2 linked regions of the Cricetulus griseus genome follow. The protein of the gene in region 1 purifies or fractionates together with the protein of each later gene. This does not show direct contact. Links are inferred from orthologs where the notes say so. Each region holds a gene or a part of one and is shown in the gene's direction. Other genes may lie near its edges.

What was found. The genes of interacting proteins can lie anywhere in the genome.
Region 2: the proteins of Cbx1 (region 1) and Prr14 purify together in Homo sapiens (affinity purification with mass spectrometry; 3 studies listed by BioGRID and IntAct, counting the BioPlex papers as one, with this or other methods). This does not show direct contact. The link is inferred for Cricetulus griseus from reciprocal best matches to the Homo sapiens genes CBX1 and PRR14.

Annotation. Positions count from the first base shown.
Region 1 is NC_048600.1:109,938,721-109,946,330, forward strand, and holds the start of Cbx1 (chromobox protein homolog 1), read left to right. Parts: upstream 1-2,504; 5' UTR 2,505-2,683; intron 2,684-7,610. UniProt on the Homo sapiens protein: Component of heterochromatin. Recognizes and binds histone H3 tails methylated at 'Lys-9', leading to epigenetic repression. Interaction with lamin B receptor (LBR) can contribute to the association of the heterochromatin with the inner nuclear membrane.
Region 2 is NC_048596.1:73,285,688-73,293,215, reverse strand, and holds the start of Prr14 (proline-rich protein 14), read left to right. Parts: upstream 1-2,860; 5' UTR 2,861-3,133; coding exon 3,134-3,225; exon of another isoform or gene 3,226-3,300; intron 3,301-3,489; coding exon 3,490-3,561; intron 3,562-3,671; coding exon 3,672-3,840; intron 3,841-4,491; coding exon 4,492-4,613; intron 4,614-4,684; coding exon 4,685-4,874; intron 4,875-5,779; coding exon 5,780-5,823; intron 5,824-5,919; coding exon 5,920-6,125; intron 6,126-6,477; coding exon 6,478-7,063; intron 7,064-7,198; coding exon 7,199-7,268; intron 7,269-7,344; coding exon 7,345-7,436; intron 7,437-7,528. UniProt on the Homo sapiens protein: Functions in tethering peripheral heterochromatin to the nuclear lamina during interphase, possibly through the interaction with heterochromatin protein CBX5/HP1 alpha. Might play a role in reattaching heterochromatin to the nuclear lamina at mitotic exit.

The DNA of each region.
Region 1 (7,610 bases):
ATCCCCTGCAACTGGGATTAATTACAGGATGTTGTGAACCACCATATGGGTGGTGGGAACAGAACTCAGATCCTCTGCAAGAGCAGCAAATGCCCTGGGTGTGTAAAGTGCTCTCTTGTCACGTGCAAGGCCCTGAGTTTGATCCCCAGCACCAATACAAGATGAAACAAAACTAAAAGCATTACTGATATTCTCATTTTCAAAGTTATCCAAAACACCACACTTCAAGAAAGAATAGGTTGATTGCTGCCTATTTTGGGAGGCTGAACCTAAATATTTTCAGGAAGAATTGGCCTCTTTTTTTTTTTTTTTTTTTTTTTTTTTTTTTTTTTTTTTGGTTTTTAGAGACAGGGTTTCTCTGTGGCTTTGGAGGCTGTCCTGGAACTAGCTCTTGTAAACCAGGCTGATCTCAAACTCACAGAGATCCACCTGCCTCTGCCTCCTGAGTGCTGGGATTAAAGGCGTTGCACCAACACCACCCGGCGAATTGGCCTCTTTTAACTAAATTTTTGTATGGTACTGCTGAGGTAAAATTTTTTTTCTCTCTTTTCTTTTTGTCTTAGTTTTTTGAACAGAAAAGTTCTCATTGTTTTGTTTTTTGAGGCAGGCTCCCACTCGGTAGCCTAGGCTGGCCAGGTATTCCCTACACAGCCTAAGCTGCTCTTAAATTTACTCCTGCCTTAGTCTTCTGAGTACTAGGATTAAGAGGCATGGTTCATCACACCTAGCCTTGGGAAGTTTGATCAGTTCTATTTTCTGTCAGGAAGGAGGACACCATCTCATTTATTGACTTAATCACTTACTCAATAATTTTTTTCCAACAGTGAGAGCCAAAATAGGGACATGTAAATATTAACAACAAATACCAAGGACTTTATTGGGTGTTGTGGATATAATGAGCCATATAAGGGCTCTTAGTGGAGTTTACAGTTCAAAAGTTAGCAGCAACCTAGCTGAAATCAGAACTACATACTTGCTTAAGAACAGTAACCACAGTTTTTGCTTAATTAGTTAGGTAAGGAGTGCTCATTGAGATGGAGGAGTCCCCATGAAAGTTATCCATTGGCACAGACAATAAAGGGACATTTTTGCATGTGGTGGCACATGCCTATAACTCCAGCACTTGGAGGCAGAAGACTCAGGACTTCAAGGTTAGCCAGGGTTCCCTTGAGACCCCGTGCACCCCCCACACAAATAAATAACAACCAAAACAAAAAACAAAAAAAGAGGGAACGAAGAAGACGAAGAAAAGGAGAGAGAAGGGAAAAGAAAATTCAGGAAGTGACCAGATGATGACTACCAAAAAATTAATTTAGTCAGGCAGTGGTGGCACATGCCTTTAATCCCAGCACTCAGGAGGCAGAGGCAGGTGGATCTCTATGAGTTTGAGGCCAGCCTGGTCTACAGAGTGAGTTCCAGGACAGCCAGTGCTGTTACACAAAGAAACCCTGTCTTGAGAAAACAAAAACAACAACAAAAAAAGAGGATTAATTTAGTACTTTCTGAAAGGGAAAGTGATTTCAAGGCTGAGGAGTAGTAACCTCATGGAGGTGGAGATAAAAGATTACAGAGACCGCTGGACATTACTGAAAGGTGGAGATTTGGTAAATCTCAGGGGACAAATATGTTAAGATTTTTGTTGTTCTTTTGTTTTTCAAGACAGGGTTTCTCTGTGTGCGCTCCTGGAAGTCGCTCTGTAGACTAAGCTGGCTTCAAACTCACAGAGATCCACCTGCCTCTGCCTCCCAAGCGCTGGGATTAAAGATTATTCTTTAGCCTGGTAGTAGTGGCACACGCCTTTAATCCCAGCGCTTGGGAGGCAGAGGCAGGTGGGACTCTGTAAGTTCGAGAAGAGCCTGGTCTACAAGACCTAGTTCCAGAACAGCCTCTAAAGCTACAGAGAAACCCTGTCTGGAAAAAAAAAAAAAATATATATATATATATATATGTATATGTATATGTATATAATATGTTATTATATATATATATATATATATATATACATATTAAACGCAGAGGATATTAATTACAGAACTGCCCAGAGGCAAATGGGGTTTTTTTGTTTGTTTGTTTTTTTGGGGTTTTTTTTGGGCGAGGCAAATGGTTTTCCTGACCAAATATCTAGGGGCTAGTTTCCAAACACACGTGTTCTGGGTAGACTGAGTAAGATGTTGTGGCCTGTCATCTGAAGTTTGAGGCAAAAGAAAGGCCACGAGTTCGAAACCTGCTGGTCTACATACCCCGTTATTAAAAAACAAACAAACAAGCCCCACCACCACTCAGCAAACTTTCTAGACTGTAGAGTTATAAACTACAGTCGACCCCGCCTTTCCAGTTTAAAGGAAACAACCCTAGAAAGTAGGGGGGCGGGGCGGGGGAGGGAAGAGACTCGCGCGGCACTCTGGGATTTGTAGTTTTGCACGGACTCAGAGTCCCATGATGCCGTGTGGCGGGTCACCGCGTCTGCGCGGTGCCGGCGGCGGGCAGCGCAGAGTGAGAAGCTCTTTTGTTCGGCTGAGGGGAGGGCCATTGGCGGGGCCTGGAGTAAGCGGCTTCACCGAGGCGTCCCATTGCCACCACAAGGCTTTATTGCTTCTCTGGGCGCTACTCCCTCGGGCCGCCCGACGCGACGCACTAGCAGCGGAGCACCGATTCTTGGCGGACTCTCGGGCGCTGCTAGGAGGTGAAGAGGCGGGGGGAGGGGGCGCGGCGACGGCGGGAGGCCGCGGGCGGTCGAGGGCCGCGAACGGAAGCCTGGAGCGAGCGGAGCCGGGGGCGCGGCCCGGTCCTTCACGTTCGCTTCCCGCGCATAGCTCGCGGGTTGCGGGAGCCTGGAGAGGGCGGGGCAGCGAATCCGGAGCCCGGGAGCCAAGTGGTTCCAGATGAGAGCCGAGCCTTCCGAGGGTTAGCTCTTCAGGAGCTGGACCGAGACGGATTGACTCGAGGGAGCGACTTTGGAGTTGGGCGGGAGAAGAAAAACTTTAGGACTTAGCGACATAAGAGGACAGGCTTGGTGCTTTGGGTATGCGTGGCACGGACCACGACTTCCTACGCTAGAGGTTTAGAAATGTAACCTGAGAAAGCGGACACGGTGGCGGGCGCGGGCAATCCCAGTAGCACTTGGAGGAGAGAAAGAAAAAAGAAAAGGAATTTGAGGATATTGAGTCCGACTGACAGTATCAGTAATTTCTCTTGCCAGGGTCACGAAGAAGTAACTTCCAGGACAAGGGTCTTGGGTTGCTCAGGGTGTGCTTATTGAGAAAAGATTTGTTGAACAAATCTGGGAGCGAGGGATCAGACGTTTTCTTGACCGGATTCTGTAAAGGAGTTCTTGGGATAAGTAGGGTAGAGGTCCAGAGAAGGATCGAGTGAAATGTGGAAGAGAAAAGGGGTATCTGGAAATGTAGCTTAGTTTGTAGAGTGTTTGCCTAGTGGGCTGCAAACCCTGGATTCAGTCTCCAGTGGCACATAAGCTGGTTGGGTGTGAAGGCATGGACATGTAATCTTAGCACCCTGGAGGATCAGAAGTGTAAGACCTTTCTTGGCTGCATTGGAAGTCAAGAAAGGGTGAAAGGGCCACTTTTTGCCTAGTAATGGGTCTTTTTTGTTTTGTTTTTGAGACAGGTTTTCTCTGTAGCTTTGTAGACCAGGCTGGCCTCACTCATAGAGATCCACCTACCTCTGGCCCCCTGAGTGCTGGGACTCAAGGCATTCACCACCACCGCCCTGCCATAGTGGGTCTTCATTGTGAGTTGGGAGACTAAGAATAGCATGTGTAAGGCAAGACTCCTCAGATAAAAAGTGTTTGCTCAATCTGAGCAAGCCTTGAGACCTCAGTTTAACTCCTGGAACTCAGGTAGTGATGGAAAGAAAGAACCCACTCCAGAAAATTGTCCTATGATCTACCCGTGAGGGTATGGCAGGGACCGGTAAAAGTAGGCTTCCACACACACAGTAGTGATATTTTTATTAGAAAATAGTTATCAGCTGGGTGGTGGTGGTGTTGCACACCTTTAGTCCCAGCACTCGGAGGCCAGAGGCAGGCGGATCTCTGTGAGTTTGAGGCCAGCCTGGTTTACAAAGCTACACAGAGAAACCCTATCTCAGAAAAAAAAGTTATGAAATATGGAACTCATTTTTCCCAAGTTATGTACCACTGAGTTATGTTCCAGTACCACAAAAAATATTTTTAAAAAATGAGTTTTACAGCTGGGCGGTGGTGGTGCACACCTTTAATTCCAGCACTCAGGAGGCTGTGACAGGTGGATCTCTGAGGGAAAACCTGTATCAAAAAAGCAAGAGAAAAGAAAAAAAAAGTTTTACTGGAACATAAGGTGTCCTCTCCAGTTTTGAATTAACAATCATGTCAGCAGCTTGGAATAGTTTCAAAAGATCTAAGGTTTGGGGATAGATGTGTGACTGTAATCAAGAAATTAGTGCCTGTGCCCCTCCTTGGAATGAATGTTGAGAAGATTCCAGTGGTGTGTGTTGGTGACTCCTATAATCCCAACCAGCACTTGGAAGGAGCAGGAGCACCATGAGTTCAGGACCTAGGGAAAGCACCCATATTGAAACCACTTTCTCAGTAAAGGTTTGTGGATAATTCTTCAGTCACTTCTGGTTGGTCACTTTTTTTTATAGATAGTAATAAAATTGGTAGAATTTTACCCTCCCTTCTAGGTATTTTTGTGATCAGTTAAAATACTGTGTGTGCACATGGGTGCATGCCATATCCCATGTATGGAGGTCAGGACAATTTTGGGAAGTCTGTTCTTCTACCATGGGCTCAGGAGATCAATCTCACCATCAGGCTTTGTATGGCAAGCAGTTTTACCTGCTAAACTATCTCTGAGGCCCTCTGAACAATTTTTTGAAATAAAAGGCTGTGTGTCCCTGGCTGTCCTGGAGTTTACCCTATAGTCCATGCTGGCCTCAAACTCAGAAATCTGCCTGCCTCTGCCCCACCCCTACCCAAGTGCTGGGAGTAAAGACATTTTCATTTATTTATGTCTTTATTGTTTTATATTTTGAGACAGGATCTGACTATCTCTGGATGACCTGGAACTTGATATATACACCAGGTTGGCCTCAAATTCAGAGACATGCCTGCCTGTGTCTCCTGAGTGCTGAAATTAAAGTTGTTCACCACCACACCGAGTTGGGTTTTGGAGGGTGGCGGTGTTTTAGTTTTTAAACGTGGGGGTAGGGAGTGTGCCATGATATGCTGTGGAGGTCAAAGAACAATCCGTTGTCCTTCTCTTCTACTGTTATGCTAATCTGTTGAGTGAACACAGGTATGTTGGGCTTGGTGAGACAAACACCTTTACCTACTGAACCAGCTTGATAGCCCCATTTTCTAAGTTTTGGGAATTAGACCTTGCAGAAGTTGGTATGTGTGGATTTTATTATCTATGTCCCAAGTTGGCTTGGAACTCACTATGGCCTAGATTGGCCTTGAAATGAGATTATAGATGTGTACCACCATATCTAGCCTACGGGTTTTATTTTTATATATATAGGTCTTTGCTTTTTGCATCTGAAGAATTGAATCCATGGCTTCTTACACATTAGGCAAGCACGAAGACTGAGCTGCATCCCAGTTTGGCAAGCTTTCTACTGGTGAACTACACTTTCTAGACAAAATTTGGGGACTGTTGGGCTGGTGTTTGTTTTCTTTCTTTTTCTGGTGGTGGTAGTTCACTGAATTGAACCCCAGAACCCATGTGCTCTGTCATTGTGCTTTACTAGCAGCCTTCTTAAAATCCTTAATGTCTTTTGTGAAAAGTTAAATAATTTCACAGCTGGGTATGGTGGCCTGTGCCTGTAATGCATCTCTGAAGGATTCGGAACAGGGAATATTGTGTCAAGTTATAAGAAAGTCTGGTCTAAATAATGATATCCATGCCCGTCTGGACTATAGAGTAAGACCCTTAAAGTTATCCTCTGTCCCTGTGAGTGCTCCCTACCACAAACAATAAATACAGGTGGCTGAGGCAAAAAGATGAATCACATACTTGAGGCCAACCTAGACTACAGAGTTGAGGCCCTGGCACAAAAAAAAAAAGAAAAAGAAAAAAGTCTGTGGGTTTGCTTCTGATTCAGTACCTACCAACTAATTCTGCTCGCACAGCCACACTCAAAAACAAAACTACTGCTCCTGCTCTGTTCATTCAGATTTGCATCTGGAAAGCATTTGCTTCACAAACAGCCAAATAAAAAGCCAACTAAAAGCGGTTTAGAAAGACTGGCACCTGAGTATACTTTGCTACTACAAATGCCTTCATTTGTATTTTGATTACTGGTGTGTAGTTGCCAGTTATAGCAGCAAAGATACCTTGTCCTTGTTTTCAGTTCAGGGTTTATTGATTGGTGACTCCCTAAAACGTGGCAGCTTTGTACTTTTATTTCCTGTTGTTTGATTTTGAAACATCTTTGTTGAGCATACAATGTTCATAATTTGCACAAGGCTCAGAATGCCAATTGACTGTCTGAGGGTAAATAGAAACAAAATGCTTTGGGGATCCCAAGGGAAGGAGAAATACTTGGTTAGGTTGGGTGGGCTATATGGGAGAAGTACCCTTTAAGCTATGTCTTGAAGAAACTGTAGGGTTCTGACTGAATACAATAGGGGATGGTAATAAGCTACCTTGAAAGTGCTGGAAATTGAACCCACATCCTCAGGAAGAGCAGCCAGTGATCTTAACTATTGAGCCATCTCTCCAGTCGTGAGATTTTGTTTTGTTTTTGGAATTACCATCTTTTTTCTTTTTTTGGTTTTTTCGAGACAGGGTTTCTCTGTGTAGCTTTGGAGCCTATCCTGACACTCCTCTGGAGACCAGGCTGGCCTCGAACTCACAGAGATCTGCCTGTCTCTGCCTCCCGAGTGCTGGGATTAAAGGCATGCGCCGCCAACGCCCAGTTGGAATTACTATCTCTTTGTGGGTTTTGTGCACATGAGGGATCCTGCAGAGGCCAGGAAAAGGATCCCCTAGAGCTGGAGTTGCACATAAAATTGAGTCACTTCACAATTGTGCTTGGAATGAAACCAAGCAAAAGCTCTTAATTGCTGAGCTATCTCTCCCACCCCAGTATTGGTTGTTATGCAAAAGTCTGTTTTGTACTTGTTAAAAATTCAAGCATCTGCCAGGATGTGGTGTGGTATCCCCCATCTTTAATCCTAGGACTAAGGAATAGAGGCAGACACATCTCTGAGTTTGAGGCCAGCCTGATCTACAGTTTCAGGATAGCAAAGGCTAAACAGAGAAACCTTGTTTCAAAAAAAAACAGTTCAGGGCTTTGGTGGTGCACTCCTTTGATCCCAGCACTCAGGAGGCAGAGGCAGGCGCGAATCTCTGTGAGTTTGAGGCCAGCCTGGTTTCCAGAGCAATTACCAGGACAGGCTCTAAAGCTACACAGAGAAACCCTTGTCTCGAAAAACCAAAAATAAATAAATAAAACAGTTCAAGCATCTTTGTGCATACAATTGAATGCTGTAATAGAAGCAGATGAGAATAGGGATCTTAGGGACTGGGGAAATGGCATGGCTCAGTAAAATGTTTGCCCCTAAAGTATGAGCTGAGTTCAGATCCGAGTACCTTTTATAGCAAGAT
Region 2 (7,528 bases), on another chromosome or scaffold:
CTTGCCTGTCTAAAGCACCTGACTGGTGTAATAAGGCAGGAGAAAGGTAGGTGGAGCTGGCAGGCAGAGAGAATGAATAGGAGGAGAAATCTAGGAAGAGGAGGATTAAAAGGAGGAGAGGAGGGCCCCTCAAAGAGCCCAAAGGGGTAAAGAATAGAAACCAACTAGCCGGGCAGTGGTGGTGCATGCCTTTAGTCCCAGCACTCGGGAGGCAAAGGCAGGCTGATCTCTGTGAGTTCGAGACCAATCTGGTCTACAAGAGCTAGTTCCAGGACAGCCTCCAAAAAGCCACAGAGAAACCATGTCTTGAAAAACCAAAACAAACAAACAAAAAACCAACCAACTATACAGCTCAGTAGTTAAGAGCACTTAGTGGTATTGCAGAGGACCTGGGTTTACTTCCCAGCACTCACATAGTGGTTCACAACCTTCTTTAAATCCAGTTCTAGGGATATGAAGCCCTCTTCAGGCCTTTGTGTACACTATGCTTGTATATAGTACGCTTACATACATGCAGACAATACACCAAGGACTCTTAAGGGGCAACAGCCATAGGGGCCATGGTGGCGCACGCCTTTGATCCCAGTACTTGGGGGGCAGAGGCGAGTGGCTCTGATTTCAAGGCCAGCCTGGTCAACAGAGTGAGTTCCAGTATATCTAGGGCTACACAGGGAGATCCTGTCTCAAAAAAACAAAACAAACAAAAAGCCAGCAACAAAAGAGAAAGTAGATATGGCTTACTAAGGACTAGATAAGTGATGAATGGAAGAAATTATGGCCAAGAGGTGTGGGATTTCCGTTGGAGCAAATGATAGTTTTGTACTCAGAGAATATGCTTGTGAGATGGCTCAGCAGGTAAAGACACTTGCTGGCCAAACCTAACAACATGAATTCAATCCCCCAGATCCGCATGATGGAAGGAATGGACTCCCTCAAGTTCTGTGACCTTTACTTGCTCTGGCATACCCTGCCTCCAATAAATAAATAACACTTAGGTTTTAAAAACCATTTACTTTTTTTTTTTCTCATGGCTCTGGGGACTAAAAAATATTGCATTGTACATTTGGATGGGTGAATTGTATGGTATTTGAATATTTCAAGTAAAGTGTTCACTAGCCAAACATAGAGGTGCTTATCCGTAATCCCAGCACTTAGAAAGCTAAAGGCAGGATTGCTGTGAATTTTCAGCCAACCTGGGCCCTGCGATGGCTATTCTTAGTTTTCAACTTGACTACATCTGGAATTAACTAAAACTCAAGTGGCTGAGTACGCCTGTGAGGGATTTTTCTCTTAATTAGGTCTTTTGAACTGGGAAGACTGAACCTTTGTGGGGCGGGGGTTGAGTCCAGAATAGAAAGAACACTGAACCTGCTCCACCAAGCAACCCAAGGTTGGCTATTGGTCTCCTGCAATTGAGCCTCTACCGACCTTCCAAGTGGCCTGGAGACAGTACTTTAGGAAGAAGTAAACATATACGCCAGGGGATTTCTGTGTGCAGCCCTGGCTGTCCTGGAACTCGATCTGTAGACCAGGCTGGCCTCACAGAGATCTGCCTGCCTCTGCCTCCCAAGTGCTGAGATTGAAAGTAAGTCACCACTGCCTGGCAATAAGCATACTTTTTAAAAAGTAATTTTTTTCCCCTTAAAAAGAAAGGGGGGAGCAATTGAGGAAGACACCCAACAAGGCTTTCTGGCCTCCACATACACATAACACACACTCAGTCTCTTGGACTGGTTTGGAACAGGGAATCTTAGGGAAGTTAGGGCTTTGGTTAGGTGATGAAGACACATTTACAGTGCAAAATGCCAGTAAAAGCCCACTTCCCCACCAACAGTCCAGCTCCTAATAAAGGGTCTACTGGTGCAGGATCTCCAAGCACTAGGGTTCTACTCCTTACCGCTTATCCCTAAAGATTACTGACACCCTGCATAGGACAGACTTCTCTTCAAAAAGTTACTTCTGCGAGCCCAGAATAGAAAGGACACTGAACCTGCTCCACCGAGCAACCCAAGATTGGCTATTGGTCTCCTGCAACTGAACTTCTACCGACCTTCCAAGTGGCCTGGAGACAGTACTTTAGGAAGAAGTAAACATATGCGCCAGTGAATGAAACTCATCCAGCCTTTTCCCCACTTAAGCTCTGCCCAGTCTCTCCAAATAGAACAAGTCAGAGGAGACACGCCGGCACTAATTTTTAACCTTGGATCTTCACGGTCCCCGCCCTTCTTTCCCCTCAATCCCGGAGGAACCTAAGAGAATGGGAATTTCTCAAGTTGTTAGCACTTAATCGATGTTTACTGGCATAGGAACAAGAAAAAAAAATAAAAATACGGAAGATGACTTTACAAAAGGTGGAGAAACTTTAGCTTCACTACAGTTGTCCAAATATATCAAGAAATCTGCCATAGTAGTTGACGGCTGACTGGCCTTTGAAAAATGACCCTATTCGGTCGACTAGTGCTCAAGCCTGCCTGCCCTCAATTATAATGGCGGTGCTGTCCCCAGTTTAGCTTCTTGCCCCTAGGAATCATGGCCGCCTGGCGGTTTCACGTAGTTTCTCCTAACCCCGGAAGACCAGGGCCGGCGATTGGGCGGTGCCCAAGACACAGAGAAGAAGGCCTCTGACGGTTGGACAGAGCTGCGAAAGGCTGGTTTTAAAGAAGCCGGAGGTGGGAGCTGTCGAAAACCCGGGATCCTTGGAAAGCTGCGGTGAGCGGCGCAGGGAAAGGGTGGGAGGGGTAGGGGGACCCGGCTGTTGAGAGGGCAGAGAGGCCGGCGGAGAAGGAAACCTTTGAGCCATCTGGTCCCGGGCTCCGGAGAACTCGGGGCGGGGATCCAAGCAGGGCGGGGGCTTGGGGTGGGATGTTACCGGTGGGCTGGACCTTCCGGGATTGGCGTGAACGGGGTGTCGGGTTGACAGCCTACACCCCGGAATCCGAACTGAGTTCGTAGATGAGCTTGGGCCTCCATCCTGAGGAACTTTGTTAAGACGAAGCCCACAGTGGGAGGAGGCGAGTCGCGCAGGTTCTGATTGGAAGAACCGCGCTGTAGGATTCTTTCCACCGAGATCCAATTTAGGCGATCTGGTGGGAAGGGAGAGCTGTTAGTATGTGGAGTAATTCTTCTGGAGCCCATGCTTGGCGGGGCGAGGATCACAGAGGAATCTAGAGGAAACGGAGCCTCCCAGGACCGGGATCCCAGCGGATCCCTGAGAAGCTCAGGGAGGTATCTACAGGGACAAAAGTCCCAGGAGGCTCGATCCGTGGGAGAGCTGTGACCTCCGCGATCCAGTCTCGGCAGGTGCCAGGCAGGGCCCGAGTGATCAAGGCGGCTGCCACGGGAGGACCCGGCTCCGAACGGGCAGCTGGGGGCGCCCTTTCGAGGAAGGGCCTGTGGCCTACGGGGAGCCGCAGGCTGAACATGAAGGGCGGAGTCCCCGGAGAGGAGCTGGCCCTCACTCCCCACTCCCCTGTTCCCCCTTTACCCCAGGCCGCAGCCTGGGATCCCCCAGGGACTCCCCGGAACCATCGCTTTCCCCATGGACTTGCCTGGGGATTCCAGGTGAGAGCGCACCCCGCCTGCCTGCCTGTCTTGAGCCCGGGACACCGGGATCCTGGCGGCTGTACAGAGCCAACAACCGCCTCAGACAACTGTCTTCTTTCACCCTTCAGCCCTTCTAGACAGTCAAGCCTGTGCCGTCAGCCCCTAACTCGAGCACTATGGGAAGCCAAGAGCCCGAAAAGACCGAGGCTGCAGCCCCTAGGGACCCCTTCGTCCTTGGAAAAGGCCTCTCGGCGCGTCCTGGCCGTAGTCCTGGAAGATGTCGTGGCTACAAACAGGGTGAGCCCTTTAATTGAAAGACCCCTCCCCTTTCCCTACACCCCCCACCCCACCACCCGGCTCAGTACTAAAGTCAGACCAGATCTCTTAAACCAACGTTCAAAGCAGTCTCCTTAATGCAAGACTTCTGCATGGTTCTGGGGTAACTCCTATGTCTGTCCTTCCCGCACTCTCCACTGAGCTGGAACCATATTCTACTAAGTATGAGAAACTCTTTTGACTACCCTGCCCCCTGGGAAGTTTGCTGGTGGTGTCTTTGGCTACATGACAGAGATGAGGAAAATGTCACCTTTTTTCCATTTCTTCAGAACCTGGATTAGATTAGATTACTTACATTTCACACCTGTAGCTCCTGACTATAATACCTCACCCCTAATTCAGACCAAATCACTTCCTTTAGGAATCTGAGTGAATTCTAGCCAAAATCTGTCTCCTCTGTGAGTAGGGACACTGAGACACAGAAGATCCTGTCCACTTGGCCTCATTCCATTACTTTGCTCTTTGTTGTTGGTTTGTCTTACTAAGACAGGGTCTCACTTTTTAGCCCAGGCTGGCCTGGAACTCTCAATCCTTTTGTATTAGCCTTGCAAGTGCTGGGATTATAGGCATGAGCCCAGGTTGGCTTTCTTTTAACAACTCTTCCTCTCTTAGGTCCCCCTGGCATACCAAGAGGACACTGCCAGGCCAATGAATCGCAACAATCATCAGGACTCTGTCTACAGTCAGTCACCTGCGTTACCACCCCAGCAAGTCAAGTGGTCCTTCCAAGCCAGGTGAGTGTGACAGGGAAGGAAATAAGCTGAGAACACAGCTGAGCCCACTGATGCTCCTGTTCTTTCTCTAGACCTCCTGACCCACTGCATTTGTGCCGAGAACCCTTGAGCCGGACCCACCAGTCCTCTCCCACCTTGAAGATGAGATCAAGGACAGCCCCTGGCCCAGCAGAGAGCCCTTCACAAAAGATGGACCAGACCACCCAACCTACCCTGGTGGTGGTACTGGAAGACATTGCCAGCCCCAGACAACCAGCTGAGGTATAAGAAAGTATGGTGAAGATGTCTGGGTCCAGCTAAGGCAAGCATGAGGCTGGGGCGGATTTCTGTAAACGTAGGACAACAGAATTTTTTTTAATAACTTATTTATTTTTATTTTATGTACATTGATTGGTGTTTTGCCTGCGTGTATGTCTGTGTGAGGGCATTAGATCCCCTGAAGCAGTTGGGTGCTGGGAATTGAACGTGGGTCCTCTGAAAGAATAGCAGTGCCTCTTTTTTTGTTGTTGGGTTTTTTTTGTTTTGTTTTTTGGTTTTTTGAGACAGGGTTTCTCTGTGTAGCTTTGGAGCCTATCCTGGCACTCACTCTGGAGACCAGGCTGGCCTCGAACTCACAGAGATCCACCTGCCTCTGCCTCCCGAGTGCTGGAATTAAAGGCGTGCGCCACCAACGCTCGGCTATAGCAGTGCCTCTTAACCACTGAGCCATCTCTCTAGCCTGCCCCCCCTCCTTTTTTTTCTTCGAGATGGGGTTTTTCTACATAACAGCCCTGGCTGTCCTGGAACTTGTATTGTAACTAGGCTGGCCTCGAACTCAGAGAGATCCACCTGCCTCTGCCTCCTGAGCGCTGGGATTAAAGGTGTGCACTACCACCCCACCCCCACTTTTTGAGACAGGTTTCACTATGACCTATATCTTGCTATGTAGACCACGCTGACCCAATTTATAGCCTGCCTCTACCTTTCAAGTGTTGGGATAAAGGCTTGTGCCACCGCCCCAATGACAACATTTTATGTGATAGACACTACCTGAATAAAGGGTATAAGAAAAAAATCTTTTCTATACAGCCAAGTAGATATCTGGGGAATAAGTCAGGACATGGAGAGCTGGGGCAGCCAAAGATGGCTTCTTGCTTTTTCAAAACACCTCCTCTGTTTATATCCAGGGTTTTGCTGAAGATGGGCCCAACTTCATTGTTCCAGCACAAAGGTGAGAGGGCTAGGAGAAGGGATTATCAAAGCCGATTATCATCCAAATGTATAGAGCTGGGGGCATTGGGTTTACTTATCTAACCCTTCCTTATAGTACCTTCAGAAGCCTTAAGGGCCAGGGGAAGCACTGGCCAAAGAGGGATCTGGATTTGGAAGCACCACCAACTCTTACTTTGTCCTTTCACGCCAGAGCTGAGCCTATGACAAAAGTTCATCAGCCAGTGCCTACACCCAGAGAACTAGAACCTCCATTCCAACCGTCCACTCTGCCTGCTGACCCTCCAGAGAGCCCACTACCAGGTAAGGACTTGAATGAAGGAATGAGACTCAAAAGTCTCCAGGAGCCAACATGAGCCTGAAACATCAGGGGCAGAACTATGGGTGGGGCTTCACCCTGACCCAGGGCAGATCAGGGTGTACAAAATGTGATTTGGGGCTCAGGAACTTGAGAAGGTCTTATTTTGCTTTGCAATACTGGGGATCAAATCCAGGGCTTAGACGTGTTAGGCAATCCTAATTACAGAACTTTAGGAGCACAGTTACTCCTCTAGAGAGAAGTTAGTGTTTGGGGGAAGAGACTGAGGCTTGTGAGGTGGTGCTTAAATCACCTGGGGGTGAGGAATGCCCGCCTGTGACCCTCTCCTTTCCTCAGCCCCAGATCCTGTTCTGGAGGTCCCATTGACCCCAACACCGTCCAGCCTTTTACGCCCCCGTCTCAGTCCCTGGGGCTTGGCCCCTCTCTTCCGTTCCGTCCGATCCAAGCTTGAGAGCTTCGCTGACATCTTCCTCACGCCTAACAAAGCACCACAGCCTCCACCCCCATCACCTCCCATGAAATTGGAGTTGAAGATTGCTATCTCAGAGGCTGAGCAGTCCAGGGCTACTGAGAGAATTGCATCTGTCAGCCCCCGGCCCCCTATCCGCCAGTGGCGGACTCAGGACAATTCCCTAGCACCTGTCTCTAAGTTATCTCTGGGCCGAAGCTACTCCTGCCCTGATCTGGGGCCCCCTGGCCCAGGTAGCTGTACCTGGCCTCCTGTTCCATCCCAGCCAAGCCAGTCCAGGCCCCGGAGACATACTGTGGGTTGTGGGGAGATGGCCCGGACCCCACCACCTCCTCGGCCCTGTCTCCGGAAAGAGGTCTTCCCTCTTGGAGGTGTGGGAGCCTCACCTTCTCTCACTACATCTTGCTCATCCACTGCATCCACTTCCTTCTTCTGCGAACCAGCAGAACACAGGTAGTGCTCTCAATAAACCCTTCTGGAAGCCTTGGCCACAGCCTGAGCCTGGCCTCCTTTGCTCAGTAACCAGTGACAGAAGACGGGTGTATTGCTGTGTATTTCCTTGTCCCTGACTGTTGACCATCTCTGCAGATTGGGTTCAACCAAGGGGAAGGAGTTAAAAGCCTCAAAGGACAAGGTGTTTTCTGACCCAGAGACCAAGGTAATGAGCAAAGAGACAGGAGTCAGCTGAGGCCTGAGCCCATGCCTTTCTTTCACCCTCTGCCCCATTTTTGCAGACCATGGGAAAAGTTTCTAGATTCAGAATACGGAGGACTCCTGTCCGTCTACAGCCAAACCTTACACCAATGGGGCTGCCTCGACCAATCAGGTGAGAGGCTCAGAGAGCAGGGGAACCTGCCTTGACCAATTAGGTGATAACTCCTATCCCTGAAGGAGTTACCTTGTCTCCTTGTCTCCTCT